Linked DNA regions of Elephas maximus indicus. The protein of the gene in region 1 purifies or fractionates together with the protein of each later gene. This does not show direct contact. Links are inferred from orthologs where the notes say so. Each region holds a gene or a part of one and is shown on either strand. Other genes may lie near its edges. The genes, in order: NRBP1, TSC22D2 and TSC22D1.

Region 1 (7,340 bases):
TTGTAGTTCTTGCGCTCAGAGAACTGTACCTCATTCCACACAACCTCTACACCCTCCTCTGTATCCATGGCCAAGTATGCACTGTCAATACCTGGTACATTCCGCTGATTCACCTAGGAAGAAATTCAAATGAAAAGAAAGTAAAGTTACCTCATGAACCCTCCATTTCAATACTCCATTTGATCATCTTTTCTTAGCCCCCAGCCTGTTGAAGTTTGGTCTGCCCCTTTGAGACTTTTGCCCCTCTAGTTCTCACCTTAGAATTCATTCTCCCAAGAGTGCCGTTACCACCGCCTTACCTCTTCTCGCCTCTTCTGCCAGCGACCACAAGGTGACTCTTCCAAGATCTCAGACTCATCTTCACTTTCTTCTTCCTCCTCTGGGGAGGCAGCTGAAGTTGTGGAGGTCACGGGAGGTGACACTGACGTCAGGCCAGGAGCTGAGGATGAGGATTCTACCTTTGCATCTGAGCCACTGCTGAGTACCGTCTGGGACTCCCCCTCCGACATGCTGGAAGGAACACTCAGTCCTGCACTGGTTGGGCAAGGAGGGAAGGGGAAGGTAGAAGGTATCAAGACAGATCTATAAAAATAATCCTAATAACCTTATTTGAAAGAAAATTAAAAAAAAAAACCTCCTTTGTTTCCAAAATGAGAATTAATGCTGCTTGAATATTCAAACATTAACTATTCTCCTAAGACTAGTCTAGAGAAGAGGAGGAAGTATAACCCCACCTAGTAAGATCCAAGTAAACAGCAAAAATATTCATCCAATAGCCTTTCCTTTCAGAGCACCCAAGTTCAGAACAGATGAGTGTGAACTCTAAAATGTTCTACTGATCTAACACTTAGGCTGACTTTATCCAGCTGAAACTCTTAGTTGATTTACCCAGCTAGAACTAAACTTGGCATTCACTATCCATCCTCCTAGACACAGAACAAGCCTACCAATCCATGGTGAGGCTATCCTTGGTCCAAGTGACTGGCAGAGGTTAGTGACCTCACCCCTAATGACCTTAAAAATGTGAGTGTGGCTAATGAGTACTGGTTAGCAACATTTTTTTTTCATTCATTCATGCAACAAATGTTTATTAAGCACTTATCATGGGCCAAGCACTGGGCTATCTGCTTGAGATATAATAGTGAACAAAATAAATGAGATCCCCCGAACGCATGTAGTCACAAATTCAAAGCAGTTCTAAGACTTTGTTTCCAGTTTCCATTTCATTCACATGGCTTAAACATTCCTAAGTTTCCATGCTTTGGGGCATTGAATCTGACAAATAACTTAAGATACAGCCTTTGTAAAAGAAAGTACTGTATAGTATAAAATTTCTCAGAACATGGCTGAGAAAAAGAACTCTTAGAAAAGAATTCTAAGAAAAAGAATCCTTAAAAGCGAAATGTCACTAACTTCCAGAAAGTCAAAAGACAGTCACTGAATGTTATTCCCTATCTCTAAGAACAAAGGCTGTGAAGGAGTTGGAACCTGTGTGTGCTGGGTCAAGGCAATGCTCTTTAGTATAAAACTGATATTCTGAAAAGTAAATTTGCTCCTCTTAGTTCAGAATGCCAGGAGCCTCCAAGCAACACCAATATTTTGAAAAGTCCACATTTCTTTTTTAGAACTCTGTGATGCCCACTTCTGCCCACCCATACCCCCAACTCACACTATATTCAACCCAAGTCCAGAAATTTCTATTAGATGAAATTCTAGTAAACACCAAGAAGCAACAAGGCAGTACAGAGAAAATCTGGTAAGATACTCTTTCTCCATGTTATTTTCTAAGTCCTGGCTTCCCAAAGAGATTTCACTCAGCCAAGCCGCGAAACCACGCCTTAATAATCTACCAGAGATCATTCTCCTTCTTCCCATGAAAAGTAGCTAAGAAAATGGATAAGAAAGTTTGTATCGGTTAATTTCTAGAGCAACTATAATCAATGAATGCATCTGGTATGTGGAACAGCTAAGAAAAATTTCCAGCTAGATTATAATAGGAAATATCAGTGGAATTCAGGAGCCCAGGTGTCGCAGTGGTTAAAGTGCTGGGCCGCTAACCAAGAGTCCACGCTTCAAACCCACCAGGGCACAAACAACTACTAATCGACAGTAGGGCACCACAAGAGAAGAGGAGCTTTCATCAAAGAGATGCCCTTAAAATGTGCTTGTCCCTTCCCTCCCCAGTCTTTTCCCAGTAGCGGTTAAGAGCTTGGCTGCTAACCAAAAGGTTGGCAGTTCGAATCCACCAACCGCTCCTTGGAAACCCTATGGGGCAGCTCTACTTGGTTCTCCAGGGTCACTAAGAGTCGGAATCCACTCAACTGCAACGGGTTTGTTTTTTTGTTAGTGTTTGGCCTGTGACAGGCACTCGAATGAATGTCTGTTGAATTTACGCCCATAGGGGAATCTCCTCGCTGCCTCCAGTCACCTCAAGATGCACAGTATGTTCACTTCTGAGCAGTGTAGGTCGTCCCGCTAAGTTTTTCTCAGAGACTTTCATTTACTGAACTGTCGCCCCTCTGTGTTTCAACTCCTCAGCAACAGCTCGCAGGCCCGGGCCTCTCCTGAGCTGACCAAAAAGGTCCGAGACCCGCAAAACTGTCCAGTCAGAAATAAAGCAAGCTCTAGAGAAGAAGAGGCCCTCCGAATTTCGCATTCCAACAGGTCGCCCTGCCCGGTGTCTGGAACAGCGCGGCCCGCAGGCCCCAAAGTGCGCTGCGGCCACCTCATCAAAGGCCAGCGGGCTGGCGGGCGGCGCCGTCAGGGCGGAGGCCACGCCCCCGCGCAGCCAGCGCGCCGGCCGCAGCGCTTCCGCAGGCCGCCGGGCCCGCACCGCCCGCCCGCCCCGCCCCCGCCCGTCGGCCCCGCCCTCGTCAGCCAGAGTTCGAAGCGAACGTCAGGGCCCTCCCGACCCGCGCGGGCGGAATTCCGGGCCGCCTCCACTCCGAGGAGGTTGAGGAGGGCCAGGCAGGGACTGTGGGGCAGAGGCGGCCCCCGGGCTCAGGCGGGCCGGCCCGGGCTTCCGAGTGAGCAAGGCCGCCTTCAGGCACCCGCCTGCCGGGGTCCAACGCCCTGGGGCTCGGAAGCCGATCCTTTCGTCCCCTTGCCGACCTCCCACCCGATTCCCTCGTTCCCTTCTGCGCTCACCTCCGGACACCGCTCCCCGCAGCCTGCGCTTCAGCTCCAGCTCGGGTTCCGGGGCCCCGGATCAGAGAGACTCCCTCACAGCTGCGCTCCACAGCGCAACCGAACTACGGGCCCCGCCCTCGCGGCGTCCTGACCAACAGATGGGCGGTGCCGCACTGCCTTAGGTTTCCATTGGACAAGACGGCTGAGTGGGCGGTGCCCAGTTTAGAGGGTCAGTGGGAGGGAGTCTTCAACCGGGCCTCTTCCCCTTGAGCCGGTCTGGCGGGGGCCGCTCGGGGAGTTCGGCCTTTTCCATTCCACCTGGGGACCTCTTCTCTGTCCACCCCTGTACCCAGTCCAGGAACCCCCGGTGATTCTGCTAGACAAAGATCTCCCCTGTCTTCTTGAAGGCGCCATGACAGTTCTAATCCGACCAAAAGACAAAAGGAGCGAAAGTCTGAGAGGAGCGTCCACCCACTTTATTTAGGGATGAGGCAGTGGCCAGGACACCAATTCCTCAGAAAGCTTTAGGAAAAAAAAAAAAATCACTACGCTTTGTGATTGCATAGTACTGTTATTTGCCAAAACTTTGCAAGAGCATTTCATAAATGTTATTTGATGATTTTCAGAAGAACTCATTGAAATTTTATCATTGATAGTCGACAAATACAAAAATAAAAACTGAATAAAAGGCACTAAACTATCCAAAGTTAGGTTGATGACAGCCAAAACCAGAATCTGAAATAAGATTCACCGAAGAAGACCTCATTGAGAAGATATTTGGAGAACTTAGATTGGGTGAGGTGTAAAAAATGGATTTTGGGTGAACCCATTGATCCCAGAAAAGTATATGCAGAGCCTAAAGGATGGAAGTTCAATTTGCCATTAGACATATACACCGGAGGGGAGAAGATAAGCCAATCACCAGAATTTGGGAATGTCATAATCACCAAATTTCACTGTCCTAAAGAGAATCTAATCCTACTTCAGAGGAGCCCTGGTGGCTCAAATAGTTAAGCACTAGCCTGCTAACTAAAAGGTTGGCAGTTGGAACCCGCCCAGTGGTTCCAAAGGAGAAACACCTGGTCATCTTTACCTAGCGGCTAGTAGGAGAAACGCCTGGCTCTGGCAATCTGTTTCCGTCAAGATCAAAACCAAAAGGGGTAGTTCCAATCTGTCACATGGGGTCACTATGAGTCGTTATTGACTCGATGGCACCTAACAACAATCCTACTTCATCGAGAGGATAATCCTTTCCCAACCTGTGGGAAATATATTGCTCACTTACATAGTCTGCCTCTGAGGTTTCTTGGGAAACTTTTCTCGCAGTGTGTGCTGCTGCAAGGTGAGGACCTATATAATTGCTTGAAATGGAAGAAATGAGTGTGTGCCACAAATTACTCCTTTTACAGGGTATTGTATGAAGTGCTGAATCAATACTTTTGGTAGGTAAAAGATGGATTTTGATTTTAAAAAATTATTTGGAACACATATGTCCCTCTGGACACTGAGGGTAGGATTGGTGGGGTGAGGCAATAAAAAATTCATACTGCTGAAAAATTCAGACACACTCAATGATTCAGCATGCATTCCATTTAAAATTCAAAGCAGAAAATAATTAGGCCTTGAAAGGGATAACTTGCAGAAGCCATCTCATTTTCTTATCTCTTCACCTCAAAGTATTTATTTCTAAAACCAATCTTTCACCCTTCCTTAATTCTTTTATCTTTGAAAGAGAGGGCTCAAACACACTTTTTAGAAATCTGATGAAAGATATGGGCTGCCTTTTGGATTTTTTTTTTTTTTTTTTTAATGCACTTGCCCACTAAGTTTAGCATATAATTTCAGGGAGTTGAGATTAAGAATCTTTGTTCTAATCTCAAAGGAAAAGATGTACCTACCTCTTCCCAGCTTAACTTCTTCTCCCTGTGGGTTCTAACACAATTGAAATGCCTGGCCCATGGTAGGTATTTATTAAATGTCAGTTGATGTAATCATTATAGTTTCCCATTCTCTTCCATCTGGGACCTTAGAATTATCAACCTTTCCCTTTGAACTACCTTCTTCTTTCCAATATGCACAGAGGACCCTTTGGCATACTCATGCTTTCATCTTATTTTTAAACTTTCATTCACATTTAACATGCTCAGATAGAAGATGGCGGAATAGCCAGATGCTTCCTGCGTTCCATCTTACAACAAAGACCCGAAAAATCAAGTGAAACAATTATGACAAGCTAGGAGCCCTGAACATCAAAGGCAAGGTTAGAAAATGGACCAAGTGGCAGGTGGAGAGTGAGACCATTCAGAAGCAGACAGGAGTTGCCGGACCTGAATGTCTGAGATCCCTCAGGCACCATTCCTGGAAGTGGCTGTGGCGGGCTGGTTGTAGTGTTCTGCCGCAGTTTCCTCAGGGAGAAATAGCCAGCCGCACAGCCTACTCACACCTCTGGAACCAGAGAAAAATGGTGCTCTCGGCAAAATCTAAGTACTTGCGTATATTTTACAGCACCCCCCACCCCCAAGCTGGCTTCAGTGGCTGTTGATTTCCCTGGGCCTGAGATAGGCCCATTTGAACGCCCTGAGCCATGCTCCTGGACTTGGAGAAGGAATAAATTCACAACAGGGGGAAAAGATAATTTGCCAGCTCCACTAACCTGGGGAGCTCAGGACAGAAGCAGCTCATGTCCAAGCATAAATGGTCTGTGGACATTGAATACCTTTCCCCCCTGGATGGACCTGTGTGGGCCTATTCCAGAAGAATAGGCCCTTACTGGCAGATTGTGACTGTTTAACCTGTGCAGTGGAGAGGTGGATGTTTGTTATTTGACATGGCTTTGCCTATTAAACAGGGTCCTCACCTACAAACATCAGGGGCCTAAGGACTGGTGGCTCCTCTCAAGTCACCCAGCCACCCATGACAGGGGTCCATGGATAACTGGTACCTCCTAGTCCTTACAACCAAAAGCATTGGGTGCCCATGGTCCATCTGCAGAACCCACCCACCTGCACGCTCTAGGGAAGAGGGACATGCTCTCCTCAGAGACACTCGGGACACTTCTCAGCCCCCTGCCTTGTTCAGAGCATGACCCCCTGCTGCAACCAGATACTGGTACCTACACCGAACACCCCTGCCCCTCTAAGACTATAGGACAGAGCCTGTACCACACACTTGATGACCAGCTACCTGGACACCTGAGCTGAATTCACACAAGAAAAGTGAATGGACTCATAATCTCATATACCTGATAACAGCTCTAGCCATCTGGTGACAGGATGTCAGAGGTCCAAAGGCGAAAACAGTCAAGCTAGCTCACTCAAGCAAGCCATTTGGGCATAACAAAACAAAACAAAGCAAGAAACTAGGATACAGTAAGCAAACATAAAATAAACTAAAACAATAACTTATAGATGGCTTGGAGACAACAGTCAATATCAAACCACATAAAGAAACACACCATGATCACGTCAACAAGCTCTCAAAACAGAGAATCAAAGGATCTTCTGGATAAAGATGCCTTCCTGGAATTACCAGATGCAGAATTCAAAAGATTAATATACGGAACTATTCAAGACATAAGGAAGGAGATCAGGCAATACACAGAACAAGCCAAGGAACACACAGATAAAACAGTTGAAGAAATTAAAAAGGTTCTTCAAGAACATAATGAAAAATTTAATAAACTGCAAGAATCCATAGAGAGACACCAATTGGAAATTCAGAAGATTAACAATAAAATTACAAAATTAGACAACTCGATAGAAAGGCAGAGGAGCAGAATCAAGCAAGCAGAAGGCAGAATTGGGGACCTTGAAGGTAAAGGACTTGGCACCAATATACTTGAAGGAAAATCAGATAAAAGAATTTTAAAAAATGAAAAAAACATAAGAATAATGTGGGACTCTATCAAGAGAAATAACCTACAAGTGATTGGAGTACCAGAACAGGGAGGGATAACAGAAAATCAGAGAGAGTTGTTGAAGATTTGTTGGCAGAAAACTTCCCTGATATCGTGAAAGATGAGAAGATATCTATCCAAGATGCTCATCGAACTCCACATAATGTAGATTTTAAAAGAAAGTCACCAAGACATTAAAATCAAATTTGCCAAAACCAAAGATAGAGAATTTTAAGAGCAGCTAGGGATAAGCGAAAAGTCACCTGCAAAAGGACAGTCAATAAGAATAAGCTCGGACTACTCGGCAGAAACCATG
Region 2 (8,193 bases), on another chromosome or scaffold:
AGATCTGCTTCAGGCCATGTCATCACATTAAAGTTCTGGGGAGTGTAATTTACTTATGCTGTAAATTCAGAGATGTGGTGAAGAGGAGGGACAGTCACAGTTATGTGTGTGGGGGTGGGGGAGGAAGAGGTTGGGAAACCAGCCATCCTTTCTTGATGAGAGATGAGGGCAGTGTACAGGAGCAGAAAGGTAAGCAAATGGTTATTTACTAAACCATGAAAAAAAAATTGGCTTCCGGCAGCTAGAAAAGGGAAGTTGCCTGCTACCACCAAAGGTGATAAAATAACCTAAATCTACATTCTGGGCATGCCCCTGTGTGTGAAGAGTGAAATATGGAAGCAGCTATAAAAGAACTGAGGGATTTTTTTTTTTTCTGAGTAGCTTTTTTTTTCTTTTACTTGGTAGCAGTGACTAGCTAGCTGAGCTCACTCCTGGACTTGTGGTATCTCTAAGAGTTCTAAAATGGAAGAAGACTCCCCACAACCAAGGCACCTACAAAAAAAGATGAGCTCTTGATTACAAAAAGCAGAGATGAGGAATTTCGGTGAGCATTTTTCAAACCAACAGAACCATGTAACAAATCCAAAGCTAATTAGAACAGAAAGAAAAGCATGTGAAGGAACTCAGAAGAGAAAGTCTGAACAGATTTCACCATCCTCCTCTGCACACCACTGATTCCAGAGATCCATAAAACAGTTTCGACCCTTGAACACATTTAAAATTAACCTCTCTCTCAAAACTAAAACCCCGGCAAATAAACGTCAAATATCTGAAACTTTCTCTGTAATTTTTAGCATTTCAAAGCTTGGTGACAACTCCGTTTTAAAAATTTGTTATACACAGTCTGCCAAATTTTCATGAGACATTTCCTCAAAGCCGCTAAAAATCCTCATTAAACCGTAACCAAACATCAGCTGCTGTGGAACCCATGTGACAATACAGCGATTTTCACTTAACCACAGACAACTGCTGGCATTTACACTTTTACTCTAAAATCACTCCAATTTCAAAAAAGGACAGCTCTTACTGGTGTTGAGACTAAGGCCACACCTCCCTCGGAGAGCGGAGAATAATGGCAGCTCAGAACATCCTCCTGTCCGTCTTTCGCCTAACGAACCAGACCAACAGACCATGGCAGCCTGGAGAGGTCCCTGGGAGGCCGCCTGGCCGCCTCCTCCCTTTTAATACAGGGCTGAAAAGGAAGCAGGCTCTTCAGAGCTGGCCTGGCCGTTTCATCGCTCTCTCTCCGGCCTCTGCAGACCCTGGACAAGGCTCCTTATGCGGATCTTTGCTGCTAGAGCTGCTGCTGGCGTTCCAGAACGGGAAACTTTTCCAAATAACTTCATCCCTCAGTCTGCAGCTCACACTGACAAACATGCCACCCGTGTTCCAGTGCGACTGACGCCTGAGAAAGGGACAACCCTAGAGAGCGTAGCCGGCTACTCCCCTACACTGAATCAGCAATGCTGCGCTCTGCCCGTTTCAGTGCTCGGAACGACTCGGCCGGCCAATGCGCCATGACGCAGCTTTACGTGGGCCACCTAAACCCAATCTCCTCCCGGGGACTGGTGAGGCGACTTTGCTAAACACAAACCACTTGGTATCAAAAATAAATAAACGAATAAATAAACCAAAAAGCCCGGGGTTCCCACTGGAAACAGACACCCGCCCAAGCGGGGTGCTAAGCGGCAGTGCTCGGCAAGCAGTCTAGCAAACACGCAGAAGGGACTGCTCCATACCTGTCCTCGTCGCCGTCCACAGGAATCGCTATGCTGAAGACAGAGGTGGCCAGGCTGTTCATGGGTGTCAACTGGAGGGCGTGCGCCGGGGCCTCGGGCCCGGGGGGCTTGCCGACAGGCTTGTTTTCAGCGAGGAGAGCGAGCGGCGCTTGAGGTAGGGGTTCCGACTTCCTTCTGGCCTCGTCCACCGGCCCGGCGGCCGGCGGGCCCTGCGCCTGGAACTGGCTGAGGTCGGCCTGCGGCAGGCTGCCGGGGGCGCCGGGCACGAGGGGCAGCGCGCCGTGCGCGGGGACATTTGGCATAGGAGCAGAAGTGCTGGGCGCACTAGGCACGCTGGGGGCGGGCGCGGCCGCGGGCACGGCGGGCACCCCGGGCACCAGGGCGTGGGGCCCGGCAGGCACGACCGCCGCCGGCCCGGGGCCCCCCATCTGCGGCGGGGGCGCGGGCAGGCCCAGGCCCGGCGGCACCACGCCTCCCGCGGCGGCCTGGGCGGCGGCGGCCGGCGGGCCCGGGGCGTCTGCGGCCTGGGCGGCGGGCGGCCCGGGGGCCGGCGCGGCGGGGCCGGGCGGCGGCAGGTAGTCGCCGGGGCCGGCGGGCAGGCCGGGCAGCAGGTGCGCCGTTGGCGGCGGCGCGGCGTAGGCGAACGGCGGCGCCAGGCCGGGCGCCCCGGGCCCCGGGGTCGGGCCGGGCCCCGGGGTCGGGCCGGGCAGAGGCGGCGGCGGCGGGCCCGGCTGGCTGGGCTTCTCGGGCGGCGGCGGCGGCTGGGTGACCGCGGGCACCGAGCTGTCAGCGGCCGCCTCGGGCCCGGGCGCCCCCTGCACGGAGGCCACCACCACCACCACCGACCCCGCGGTGGCGCCCAGGCCGCTGTCGCGCTCGGCCGTGGGCTCCAAGGTGCTGCTGTGGCGGATGCAGTCCCCGGAGCGCGTGAGCACGCTGCTGTCCGAGTCGCGCTCGTAGTACTCCACGCACGTCCATCGGCCGCGCCGGTAGGGCTCGCCGCTGCCGTGGTCCAGCTTGATCACGCGGAAGCGCGAGCTGCACGCGGCGGCGCCAGGCGGCGGCGGCGGCGGCGCTGCGGCGGCCGGGGCGGGAGGCGCGGGGGTGGCCGGCGCCCCGAGCGCGCTCCGGGCCGCCCCTCCGTTGGCGGGCGCCACCGCGGCGGCCGCCAGCTGCCCGTCCAGCAGGAGGTTCGGGGAGACGGTCCCGGGCGTCTCGGCGTCGCCGACGTTGTTGAGCGTCTCCTCCGAGGAGCTGCGCTCGCAGACCTCCTCGGGGCCGTAGTCCGTGGCCCGGGAGACGTCGAAGATCTCGGAGGAGACGTCTTCGGTGCGGGACTCGTCCGGGTCGTCCAGGCTCTCGGTGTCCTCGGTGATGCTCGTGGCCACCTGGGCCGTGGTGACACTGGTGATCTGGAAGCAGCTCTTCTTCTTGGCCGGCATCTTGGACATGGTGAGGCGGCTGCGGCCCGCGACGGAGCCGCCGGGAACCGGGAAGGGCCGGGCTCTGGGGCCGCCGCGCCGCCGCTCAGGCTCTGCCCCCGGCCGCTCGGGGCCGCATCCTCCGCGCGCTTCCTCCGCAGTCGCTGCCTGGGCCTCGCGCGGCTCCTCCTTCCTCTGCGCCGCCCGCAGCCGCGGCGCCTCGATTCGGCGCCCTCAGCGGCGGCGAGGGCGCGCGCAGGGGCGGGCCGGCGGCTTCCTCCCGGCCCCGGCCCCGCGGTCAGCAGGCCTCGGCCGGCGGGCGCGCGAGGCGAGGAGGGGCGGCGTGAGGGGCGGCGCCGGCTCCGCTCTCGGACGCTGAGGGGCGCAGGCGGAGGGGCGCGGGGCCGGGCCGGGTGGCTGGCTCCGCCCGGCCGGCGGCCCTCCCTCCCCGGCTCTAGCCGGAGCTCGGCCGCGGGGACATGTCGACCGTCCCTGGCGGAAGCCCGCTCCGGGGGAGGGGAGAGCCGGCTCGGTCCTCCCCTTAGGGGGGAGCCGCCCCGCGGGCGGGCAGGCGGGCGGGCGGCGGTCTCGGCCTCCCCTCGCGGCTCTGGAGAGAGGGGCGGCGGCGGCGGGAGCGCTGGCCGGCGAGCGGAGGCGCTCGGGCCGTGGGAGGGAGCGGCGGCGTCTTCTCCGGCCTCCCCTCGGTGCGCTCTCGGTGCGCGGACTCTGGAGAAACTCAGATTCAAAACTGCTCAAGCGGCGGCTGCAGCTCCCTCTCCTCGGCCAAGATGGGGCTGAGATGGCCGCGCCGAGGATGCTGGGAGGAGCAGCAGCAGCCCCGCCGCCACCGCCGCCGCCGCCGCTGCTGCCGCCGACTAAAATGCCGCGGCTGCCGCAGCCACCGCCGGCTCCGCAGCCGCCGCCGTTCCCTGACGCACCGACGTCGTGACGTCACCGCCCCGCCCCCTCCGGTTTCCTGCGGAGTTTCGCGTGGAGGCCGGGCGGGGGGGGCGGGGCTAAGGGTGAAAAGGGGGAGCGGTTTCCTTATTTTAAATTTTTAAAATTTAAATTTGGGGCTGGAGGTCCTTTAAGAGTTGAAGAGTGGGCGCTCCTAGAAATAGCAGGCCTTAGAGAAGCTTACAGTTCCGTTAATGGAACGTCTTTGTATCGGTTCGTGCCGAGACACTGGAAGATGCGAGGTCATGGGCTGTGTCTATAATACTTAGCAAAATCTCCCTGAAAGGAGGGCGATAGGGACGGGGGTTGGGATTTAGTGGAGATAAAGAGGAGGACGGCTGGAGGAATCGAGTCACTTAAATCTGTGCTGAAGATAAATGTGGACACTATAGTCAGAAGTGATATGTCGAGAGACGTGGGGAGGATTAGCTAAAAATTGCAAGCCAAACTGAGTCAGAAAAATCGTCTTTCAGCCAAAAGTTCTGTCTCCAACAATGGCATCAGGGAATAGTTAACTTGCCCAGGGTGAGGTCAGTTTAAAAAAAGGCTAGGGGTTACCAACATATTCCCAATATTCCTGAATTTCCTGTGATTTCAACATTGGAGACCACACTTAAACTCTTGAGACTGTTTTTACTTGCAGCACGAAATCAGCTTATGGGCTCCATAAATGCAGAACCTACTGCGTTAAATAGTTAAGAGTTCTTCCTTTTGTTTATTCTAAAACCCTTAGCTGGATACAGAGTGTTGTATGATTTGGATTGGGCTATGAACAGCCACAACGAGTCAGAGAGCACTCTTTCCTATCCCAGTAGGGAGAACAGCTATGAAATTACTGGCGATTTTTATCTTCTTTTAGCTACTTTCTGGTAAAGGAAGAAAATGGTAAGGCCATTATTTTGCACAGTTAAAAAATGAGGGCTGAGGGAAGCAGAGGTCTTGAACTTTGACCTACTAATGCAGCCATCATTTAGATAAAATATAAGAAGTCTTGCAAGAAATCAAGATTTTATATTTGTTACATCTTCAGCAGTCCCATCATGATTTACATCAACAGCTAAAAAATTCATAAAATTGTTACATGCAGTTCTCTAATCTTTGAAGAATAGAAATACTCTTTCTCCCACAGGATGTTTTGAGAATTAAAATTTATAAAGATTTTTTTTTTTTAGGTCCTTGGTTGTAAATAAGTTCTAGAGATATGTCTTTTAGCTTTGCTGTTGTTGTTGTTAGGTGCCGTCGAGTCGATTCCAACTCATAGCGACCCTACGGGCAACGGAACAAAACACTGCCCGGTCCTGCGCCATCCTTACAATCCTTGTTACGCTTGAGCTCATTGTTGCAGCCACTGTGTTAATCCACCTCATTGAGGGCCTTCCTCCTTTCTGCTGACCCTGTACTCTGCCAAGCATGATGTCTTTCTCCAGGGACTGATCCCTCCTGACCACATGTCCAAAGTATGTAAGATGCAGTCTCGCCATCCTTGCTTCTAAGGAGCATTCCAGTTGTACTTCTTCTAAGACAGATTTGTTCGTTCTTTTGGCTGTCCATGGTATATTCAATATTCTTTGCCAAGACCACATCTTTTAGCCTTAGTAGAAACCATGTCCTCCAAATCCTAGTGACTGAGGTCAAGATGTAAAATAAGACCACATAATAACATCCCTGTTTCTTAAGGGGGTGGGAGGGAGTAAAGGAACCAAGTGTAACATTATGCTGCTCTTGTGGCAGAGATAGCTCATGGAATGTTTCGTTTCTAAATCCGTCATTTCAGTCATTGTAAGAGACAGTTCTCCATCAATAAGTTAGTTCAACTGGTTAAATCTAATATGAACTTATAAAAGCTTAATTTAACTTTGGATCGATTTATTAGATTATGAAAAATAGTTATCAATGGGTGGTATTGAGCCTAGGGCTTTTGGAAAAATATCTTAAGTCTGCTTGTCTCATGACATGAACTTGTTACATAACTTCTTGAATACTTGTGATGTTAATCTGCAATCACACATTTAAGGGAAAATCTTCAAATAATCTATAAGACTGTTTCTCCTCAGAAGAACTAAATGGTGCTGGGCCACAACCGATGACTGCCCTGACAGGGTACACAACGGAGAACCCCTGAGGGAGCAGGAGACCAGTGGGATGCAGACCCCAAATTCTAGTAAAAAGACCAGACTTAATAGTCTGACTGAGACTAGAAGGACCCTGGTGGTAATGTCCCCCAGACCTTCTGTTAGCCCAGGACAGGAACCATTCCCAAAGCCAACTCTTCAGACAGGGATTGGACTAAACAACGGGATAGAAAAAGACGTTGGTGAAGAATGAGCTTCTTGGATCAAGTAGACACATGAGACTATGTTGTCATCTCCTATCTGGAGGGGAGATGAGAGGGCAGAGGGGGTTAGAAGCTGGTGGAATGGACACAAAAAGAGAGTGGAGGGAAGGAGCGGGCTATTTCATTCGGGTGAGAGCAATTAGGAGTATATAGCAAGGAGTATATAAATTTTTGTGTGAAAGACTGCCTTGATTTGTAAACTTTCACTTAAAGCACAATAAAAATTAAAAAAAAAAAAAAAAGACTTTCTCCTTAGACACAAAGGATTTATTATGAAATTAAAGTGTGGATAAAGATCATTTAGAAGAGATCAAGAAGTAGGCTATATTCCTTGTAAGGACAGGGTTAAAGGTGTTAAAAACATCTTAGGGGGGAAAAATAAGATTCATAAAATTAAAGCGTTTCATTTAGATTATAAAGATTTGTGTGTATATGTGCTTAGCCTTGACAATGTTCTCCAACAGTTTTAAACGCCTTAGCTGCATTTTATACATTTGCCCTTAAAAGAATATAGAGAATTTATTGTATAAAACTGCTAAGATGATTAGAATGTTGGTTGTTGCAAAAAAATTTGAAATCATTGTACAGAGGACAAATATGACATAACCCATGGCTGTTGAGTTGATTCTGACCTATAGCAACCCTTAGGACAGAGTAGAACTGCCCCATAGGTTTTCCAAGGCGCTGCTGGTAGATCCAAACTGCCAACCTTTTGGTTAGCAGCCATAGCCCTTAACCACTACACCACCAGGGCTCCAAGTACAATATAACTATCATCAAACTACAAAATCTGTGTTTACTCATAGTTGATTCACAAAGGATTAAAAGCCTTCAAATAGCTAAAGTGATTGAAGACGGGATATATGTGCAAATGCGTAAGCTCAGTGTGTGATGAGTTGATGATACGCAAAATGGTAGCCTAGAGTTAATAGCTCAACTCCCTAGAACGGGAGAGATCCCTGGAGACCCAAGTCTCAAAGCTAAGGGTCTTAATGCAGTTATCGTGGCTCCATACCTGTACCCAGAAACCAAAGGTAGGGACTGTGGAACCCTCAATGACTGCTCTCAGGGCCCCAGTTTGACTGTTTGTCCTACGCTTGGTATTTCCCTCAAAGATTTCAAATTGTAGCAATGTATGGTAAGTACATTTAGGTAGAACAATGCAGAAAAAGAAAAAAAAAAAAAAACTTAGCAACTAAGGATTATTTTCACTGATGGAAAAAGCTGCTGTAGCAAGATCCTTTCATCATTTGTAAGCATTTACCCCAAATTCTACTGGGTTATTATTATTTAATGGCAGCAGTACCAGGTGGTAGTTTCATAGTCACAAGATACTGGAAGTTGAACTGCAGAAACCGCCTCCCCCCGCCAAAAAAAAAAAAACAGGATCCACCCCCTCATCCCCCAGGAATGCATATTAATATTTAAAATAATAAAGATACATTAATTTAAACATTCTGGGATACAAGCAAAGAGAATCAGACTTTCTGTAGAAATCAAGCAATTGCCTAAGCTAAGAGAACGAACCTTTCAGAATTAACACTATCAGTCAGTCCCCATGTATATTAGGAAACTTGAACCCCAGCTAATAAGTTTGTCTGGGATTTCGAAGTAGCTTATGTTTATTTTCTGTTTTTATCGCCAAATTGTTTTAAACATACGAAATGCAGAAATGGTTTTAGAAATAAATATCCATTGTCTGAATAAGTAGTATTTGATTTATTATTATGATTTTCTTGAG
Region 3 (7,510 bases), on another chromosome or scaffold:
GAAAAGAGAAGCAGAGGCTGCTAGGCTGCTGCTACTCCCATCTGAAACTGCTGACATTCCCCCACTGTCACCACTGATAGTCTGAGGTAAGCCAACTAAGGAGGGTTCCACTGGGCGCCTGGCATCTTCAATTTGGCTTCCAATTGCCTGAGCTAATGATTGTGCAGAGAACTGAGCAGAACTCGGTGTTATTTGTTGTGCCAAGGGCAAATTTATATTAGTTGTTATCAAGGGAGGTTGACTAACACTCTGAACCAAATTACCATTTTGGGTGACAGGGGTTTGTGCTATATTCTGCGGTGGAACCAAGTTTGCTGGGGCAGAAGACATTGCGGAAGGAACAGTTGAGCTAACCTGATTCGTAACAGAAATACTACTAGCAGAGGGCAAAGGACTAACTGCGGGCAATTGCTGTGGAACACCTCCTTGAGCTACCGACTCTACTCCTTGTGGCTGGGGAGGCACAGTTAACAAGGTACTCTGGGGTGCAATAACCAATTGTTGAGGAAGGCTTGAAGCACTAGCTTGAACTCCCTGATGAAGAATCCCAGTTTGAGCAGGTGGAACTACTTGTGAAGACGGAGGAGCACCTTGCTGAATAACTGAAGGTGTGACTTGAGTAGAGGGCTTCTGCACTGCAGTAGGTACATTCGCCTGCTGACCAATATTTGCAATCTGACCACTAGTAGGTACAGCAGCCACTGCTGTCTGAGCCTGGCCAGTGGGCTGGGCAGATGCCCCTGCAGGCTGTGCTTGGACTAGAGTGGACTGCACTGGCGGCTGGATACCCTGCGGCTGAGCCACAGGAATCACTGCTGCTCCTGCTCCCACTGCTGCAGAAGCGGGCTGTCCGGCGGACACTGCCGTCTGAAGAATCGGCTGCTGCTGTACATGTATATACTCTGAAGGAGGATTCTGAGTCACTGATTTCCCAGGGCCTGGGGCCATGTGTGTAGAAACAGCCGGTTGCTGTTGTCCATATTGTAACTGTTGAGGTGGTGCCCCTGGAAGGGGAGTTTGCACTGGAGGAGTGCTCTGAGAATACGGCAGGTGGGGCTGAGCCAAACTGGACATGGAAGGCTGCTGACCTAAAGCTGAAGTCACACCAACCACATTCACAGGCGATGGCTGGATACCAGTTGCAGCACTGATAGTGGCTTGCAGAGGTACCGGTTGAAGACCTTGCTTTTGCTGATAGCTCAGTTCCTGAGACTGCATCTGTGAATGGGAAACGCTCTGCGGTATACTAGCTGCTGGAATACTCTGCGGACCAGTGCTACCAAAATCCATTTGTTGAGGGGCCACACCTTGAAGAGCTGGTTGCTGCTGCTGCGCCACCATAGTCGGGGTTCCCATCTCTCCACTTCCCACACTCTCTGTGTAGTGACTCAGTGTGCTGACGCTACTGCTCACTGAACTCCCACTAGTGCTCTCCCTCTCAGAAGTCACTTCCATGGGGTTTTGTTTTACAGTCTCCACCACTTTATTTATCACACCTTCTGTAGCAGGTACAGCACTTTCTTTTTCATAGAACTCAGTACAAGTCCATCTACCTTTCTTAAAAGGTTCAGAACTGGTATCTAACTTCACAACTCTGAACCTTGATGTGTTAACTGCTGGTTGTTGCTGCTGACTTAAAACCGATCCCACAGTCATCCCTGTGGCTGCATTAGGGACACTGTTAACAATAGCAGAGGAAGAAACAGTACCATTGCCCATGCCACTCAAGATATTCACATTAACACCCCTGCTAGCTCCAGGTCCAACACTCACACTAGCAGCACTAGGGATACTGCTTGTATTCACATTAGCATTACCAAGCATGCTGCCTGTCACATTAGGAGTAATACTACCCACAGCAGAAATGTTAACGTTATTCACTGTACCAGTGCCGGTCACAGAACTTATACCTATACTGCCAGGAGTGCTGGGAGTGCGGATAGTAGTCATTACAGTTGCAGGTGAGCCACCGGATGATATAGCAGAAGTTGGTGCAGCTGGTATTACACTCTCAGAGCTCCCAGCTGTGCAGAGTTTTCTGGATACTGGGCTTGAGGGTGGCCCTGCAGGAATGGATGCACTGGCCACACCAGCATGGGCAGGATGGTGGTGCCCATGGTGGAGGTGGTGTCCATGATGAATGTGGTGGTGGTGATGGAGGTGGTGTGGATGGGCATTCCCATTGATCACAACATTCTGTTGTGGAAGATGTGGCAAAAGAGGCTGAGGAAGGTGAGGCTGGTTGGGAGAGACTGCCCCAGGTGTCTCCGCTTCCTGGAAGTTATTGAGAGTCTCTTCTGAGGAGCTACGTTCTGGTTCCCCTAAGTCAGTAGCCCTGGAAAGTGACACATCAAGGATCTCGGAAGAAGACAAATCTTCCGTGTGCGATTCATCCAGATCATCGTAACTCTCCGTGTCCTCTGCTATGCTGTTGTTGGAGCTGATACTGGCGGAGATCTGAGCCGGAGTAACGCTAGTTATCTGGAAGCCACTCTTCTTTTTCATTTGCGTTCCTCCTGGCGCAAGAGGCTGTGCCTGCAGCTGCGTCTGGGAAAGGAGGTTGAGGCTTTGTGGAGGCGGAGGCGGAGGCTGTGGTCCCGTCGTGGAAGATGCTGCAGGAGGCGGCGGCTGGAGTAGCGACGGAGGCGGAAAATCCTCCGAAGATGTGGCATTACTCCCCACGCCGGTACCTGCTGCGCTGAGAGCAGAGGCGCTGCCACTGCCGCTGCCCCTCCGAGGGAACACAGCCGGGTGCGCCATCTTCCTCGCACTAATGTCTGCAGCGGCGGCGGCCGACTCAGGCGGCTGGTGCATTGTGTCGGGTACCGGGGGGCGGAGGAGCCGAGTGCAATTTCCTTCTGCACCGTAATCTTTGTACTGAAGAGCCGGAGAGGAAAACGGGACTGACGCTCTGCCGGGCGCGATTCCTCCTCCTCCTCCTCCTCAGCCGAAGGCACCGGGGCCGGTCGCTACTGCCTTCGAGGGCGAGCTTCGGGAAGGGAGGATGAACGAGGGTGAACAGGGCGGCCGGGGTCCCGAAGGGAGCCCCCTTCAGTCCTTCGCCATTCACTCTCCCCTCTACTCTCACACCCCCCCCCCCCTTTATTCTGCTTCACGTGGGGTGCGGGGCAGGCGGGAGAGGAGGGGAAGGGAGAGGGGAACCGAGAAATGCCCACCTCCTCCGGCCAACTCAGAAGCCACCTCAGCCCCCTCCTCCCGGCGCGGCGGCGGCGGCTCTGCAACACCCTCCCGCCTTCCCCTCGCCACCCCCGGCGCCGCCGCCGGCGAGCCCCGAGCTCAGTGCCGCTCAAACCTCCCCGCCCGGCCCCGCCGGCCCCGCCGCGCCCTCCCCCCACGCCCCGCGGACCCTTTCAAACCCCCTGGGCTCGCGGCGGCTGCTCCGGGAGGAAACGCTGGCCGCGGCTGGGGCGGCGAGGCTCGGAGCGGGGCGGCGGCGGGGCGCCCGGTACGGTGAGCCCCGCAACGAGGCGCGGGCGGGGGCGCAGAGACGCCGGGTCCTCGCGGAGCACGGCCGGGTCGCGGCGGCGGCGGTGGCAGCGGGAGCCCAGGGACCGCTCCATCACTGGCAGCCATGGAGCCCGAGCATTTTCCTCCCTCAGGGCAGGCGCCTCGGCTCGGCACACGTCCTCGGGGAGGAAGGGGCCGGCGCCCGAGGCTCCCCGGAGGGCGGCGGGACGTGCGCTGGAGCGGAGGGCTGTGCGCCTCGCTTGTCGTCGTCTCCGCAGCCGGCTCGTCTTCACCCCGCTGCTCCCGCGGCCCAGGCGGCGGCGGCGGCGGCTCCTTTCTCGGCGGCGTTGGTGGCCAGACGGGCTGGTGCAGCGACTGCAGCCGACGCCGTTCAAAGGAACGAGAGGTGGGGTTGGCCGGTGTTGGTAAACGGGGCGGGTGAGTGGGTGGGTGTTGAGGGAGGGTGTCGGGCGGGGAGGGGGCTCTGGTGGCTAACAGTGCCCTTCTCCGGCTCCCCCGGCTCCCCCGTATCCCCCAGTCTCTCGCGGCATTGGGAGAGGAGGGACCAGCGCCCGAGCGCAGGAGGAGGAGGGGCGACTGCCGGCGAGAGGAGGAGGCGGTGGCGACGGGGGGAGGGGGCAAGGAAAGGGGACGGAGGAAAGATGGCGTCTGCGCATGCGCCCCAGCGCCTCAGACATAAAGCCTCGTCTGGCCGGCGAGGAGGCGGCGGGTCTTCGGGCCTTGCCGAACGCGGTCTCGACACGGAAATTGCCGAAGGCTGGCGGAGGCGCCGACGCCTGGGGTGTTGGGGGTGGGGAATTTCAGCCGAGGGAGCGGATCCGGGTCGGACTGTGGGATTCTGAGTGGGGGTGGGGCAGGCTGAGGGGCGCGGGCCGCGCGCGCCAGGTTGGGCGTGTCCGCTCTCCTCGCGCGCGGCGGGCGCGCGGGCGCGCGGCAGAGGAGGGGGCGCCGCGGCGAGGGGCGAGGCTCGCGGAGGGTGCTGGAGCCCCGGTCTCGGGTGTGCGCGCCCTGGGTGGTGTCCCCGCCTGCGGAATGGGTAATGAGGCTTTTCTCCGCAGCAACAGCATCACGAGTTGAGTTCCCAGGAGCCCGCCGCCGCCGTCACGAAATGAGTCAGGCTTTCTTCTGGGCCCGCGGCGGAGCCCTGCTCTTCTTGCCGCACCTGGGCTCGCCCCGGGCCGGTCCTGCCCTTGTCCCCTCGGGAGACACCACAGCGCCGGGAGTTGCGGCGTCCGCGCAGGGCCGGTGGCTCCCGGCGATAGGTGTTGCCTTTTGTGCAGTGCAAAAAAAGAAAGAAAAGTGGCTGCCATGCGGTCCCCTCAGCCTTCGACGGCCAAGGGCGAGCCTGCCGGGCAGATGTTGCAGATGTTGGCAGTTAACTACCTAAGGTCCACGGGGTAGACTCTTGTCTAGAGGGAGTGGTTGTGCCCTCCTGACCTGGAGGGAAGCAGCCCAGCCCAGTGAACTGACCTCAACAGGTGGAGCTTGTTCTCAGCCTTAGTGCCTTTTGGTTTAATTGTCCAGGTTGTGGCCTCCATGGGTTTGACTTAAAAGGCATGGTGGGAACACAAGTGGAAACATAAATGAAGAATGCCACTTAGGGCTAAAAAAAAAAAAAAAAAGCCATCTGAAATTCCACTTTGGGGGGAAAAAAATACTTGCCATGGGTTCGAACGTATTTTTACAGAAGCAGAGTCAGGTTTGGCGGGAGGCAATTTACTGGAAGTCGCCCGCCTGGCATTACATGACATTTTAGCGCTAAGCATTTCTACTACTACTCGCCCTGGAATTAAAAACAATTACAAAATAAGCTAAAGAACCCAGGAGAGAATTTTTTAAGTTATTTATTTGTTTTAATTTAGGTTGTTGGGGGCGTAAACGTTTATTGATTCAGGAAACCTGACGGACTCACAGATCCACAATGCTATTCAGAAGATTGTTAAAGCATAATCAATTGTCTTCTACAGGTTTTCGATAGAACACTTAGTTCAACGTGAACTTTTTCTTCATTCCATCCCTCAGAAAGTTAACAATGTCACGATTGTCTTACATTGTTGAATAGAAATGCTTCCTCAACATCCCTTGTCTACCCTGTATCAAAACTGTAATATATTGTTGCTTTATCTGCGGTCTCTCCACTCAAAAAAAAAAAAAATTTTTTTTATTTCTCCACTGAATCCAAAAGGCCTGACTGTATTTTTGGATGTCAAATTGCTAATGGAATCTGTGTGCTAGGTACGAAGTAGGAGATTACAAATACTGAAAGTGAAGTGATAAAAGTCAAATACATTTGAAAAGATAATACTTTGCTTTATGATATTCATGAGTTTATACATGAATATACTTGCATTTTTAGATAGCTGTGGCCTTTTGGGAAACCCTGATGGTGTAGTGGTTAACTGCTATGGCTGCTGACCAAGAGCTCTGCAGTTCGAATCCACCAGGTGCTCCTTGGAAACTCCATGGGGCAGTTTTTCTCTGCCCTATAGGGTTGCTATGAGTCATAATCAACCCGAAGGCAGTGGGTTTGGGGTTTTTTTGTGTTTTTTTTTTTTTTTTTCCTATGGCCTTTTGCGTATTTTACAAAAATAATCATTTCTTTTTTAATCTGTCAGCAGCTTTTGTTGGGAGTGATATGCCTGGCTACTGGCTGCCATTCATTGTCAAAATGCAAATCTGACAAGCTTTTTCAACAGTTTTTGAAAGGAAAATAGAAACTATCCTCACCACTTGAATGTAGATGGGCAGAATGCAGTCTCTTCGGACTACAGTGTGAGAGGAAGAAAATGCTCTTAATCTCTCAAAATGTTGTCTCAGGTCAAAGTTTTAAACTACCCCAAACAGCAGCTCCCTAGGCCACCTAAATGCCCGCTAGGATTGTGCTGGTATGGTTTGAAGAAGAAGAAACACGTAAAATATGTTAAAATCTCACCCAAAGTTGAAGAATGAATAAGTTGTTGAGACAATCCTGTAGAAGATGATACTTAATTCTAATAACCATTAACAAACAGTATTGCGGATTTGTCTATTTTGTTGGGAGAGGGGTGTTAGTTCTTTCAAAAAATTTTTCATTTTGTTTTACTTTTCCAGGACATAAGAAAACATTGTTTTTCAAATGTATTTAATTTTTTGTCTGCCATATCATTTTCAAACCTCTTTTTGGGCTGCATCAGGTCCCACTAAGATATAAAGCGTAACTGTGCAATTAAGGAAATAGGACCTTGAACAATGTGCCTCTCTCTCTCTCTTGTTCTCACTCTCTCCAGTTGCCAACGTTTCAATGACCAGCAATACGTGAACACAAATACATCAAAATAAGCAGAAGCACCTGAACAGCCAGGAGTTGGTATCATGTGTTACCTTGTAATAAAAAAGTCAGGGTATTTTTACGTGAATATTAAATGCCTACTGCTAAGTGTGATAAAGGAGCCCCTGAGTGGTGCACACAGTTACTGACACCAAAAGGTTGGTGGTTCAAGTTCACCCAGAGGCACCACAGATGAAAGGCCTGGCAATCTACTGAAAAAGCAGTCACTGAAAACTCTATGGAGTACAATTCTACTGTGACACATACGGGGTCACCAGGACTCAGAGTCAACTCAGCGGCAACTGGTTGTGTGTAATAAAGTCATCGAATCCTTTGAACCCAGGCTTTTAGTTGTCATTACCATTGAAAGACTGAATTTCAACTGTTAAGTTCTGAGGTCGTATCTCTGAATTACCTCTCTCTTAATTTAAGATTAGCTGTATTACAATGCTCACTTAAACCTGTTTATTGCCATATTGCAAACCAGCATGTATATTTAGCTCTGTTTAGTGTTTATTGTGTCATAAAATAGAAAATTTACCTATTTGCAAAAACTGCAATAAGCAGTGGTGGCACAGTGGTTAAGAGCTTGGCTGCTAACCAAAAGGTCAGCAGTTCAAATCCACCAGGCGCTCCTTGGAAACTCTATGGGGCAGTTCTACTCTGTCCTACAGGGGCGCTATGAGTCGGAATCAACTCAGGCAATGGGTGTTT

The links.
Region 2: the proteins of NRBP1 (region 1) and TSC22D2 purify together in Homo sapiens (affinity purification with mass spectrometry; 5 studies listed by BioGRID and IntAct, with this or other methods). This does not show direct contact. The link is inferred for Elephas maximus indicus from reciprocal best matches to the Homo sapiens genes NRBP1 and TSC22D2.
Region 3: the proteins of NRBP1 (region 1) and TSC22D1 purify together in Homo sapiens (affinity purification with mass spectrometry; 6 studies listed by BioGRID and IntAct, with this or other methods). This does not show direct contact. The link is inferred for Elephas maximus indicus from reciprocal best matches to the Homo sapiens genes NRBP1 and TSC22D1.

Annotation. Positions count from the first base shown.
Region 1 is NC_064830.1:45,926,892-45,934,231, reverse strand, and holds the start of NRBP1 (nuclear receptor-binding protein), read right to left. Parts: upstream 3,265-7,340; 5' UTR 3,148-3,264; intron 535-3,147; exon of another isoform or gene 530-534; 5' UTR 510-529; coding exon 300-509; intron 114-299; coding exon 1-113. UniProt on the Homo sapiens protein: Required for embryonic development. Plays a role in intestinal epithelial cell fate and proliferation, thereby involved in the architectural development of the intestine potentially via the regulation of Wnt-responsive genes.
Region 2 is NC_064841.1:9,524,601-9,532,793, forward strand, and holds the start of TSC22D2 (TSC22 domain family protein 2), read right to left. Parts: upstream 3,280-8,193; 5' UTR 3,191-3,279; coding exon 1,740-3,190; intron 1-1,739. UniProt on the Homo sapiens protein: Reduces the level of nuclear PKM isoform M2 which results in repression of cyclin CCND1 transcription and reduced cell growth.
Region 3 is NC_064832.1:35,811,531-35,819,040, reverse strand, and holds the start of TSC22D1 (TSC22 domain family protein 1), read right to left. Parts: upstream 3,133-7,510; 5' UTR 3,015-3,132; coding exon of another isoform or gene 3,005-3,014; 5' UTR 2,815-3,004; coding exon 1-2,814. Other genes in the region: uncharacterized protein LOC126057991, read left to right, coding at 3,005-3,014, 3,133-3,874, 6,756-6,807. UniProt on the Homo sapiens protein: Transcriptional repressor. Acts on the C-type natriuretic peptide (CNP) promoter. Acts to promote CASP3-mediated apoptosis.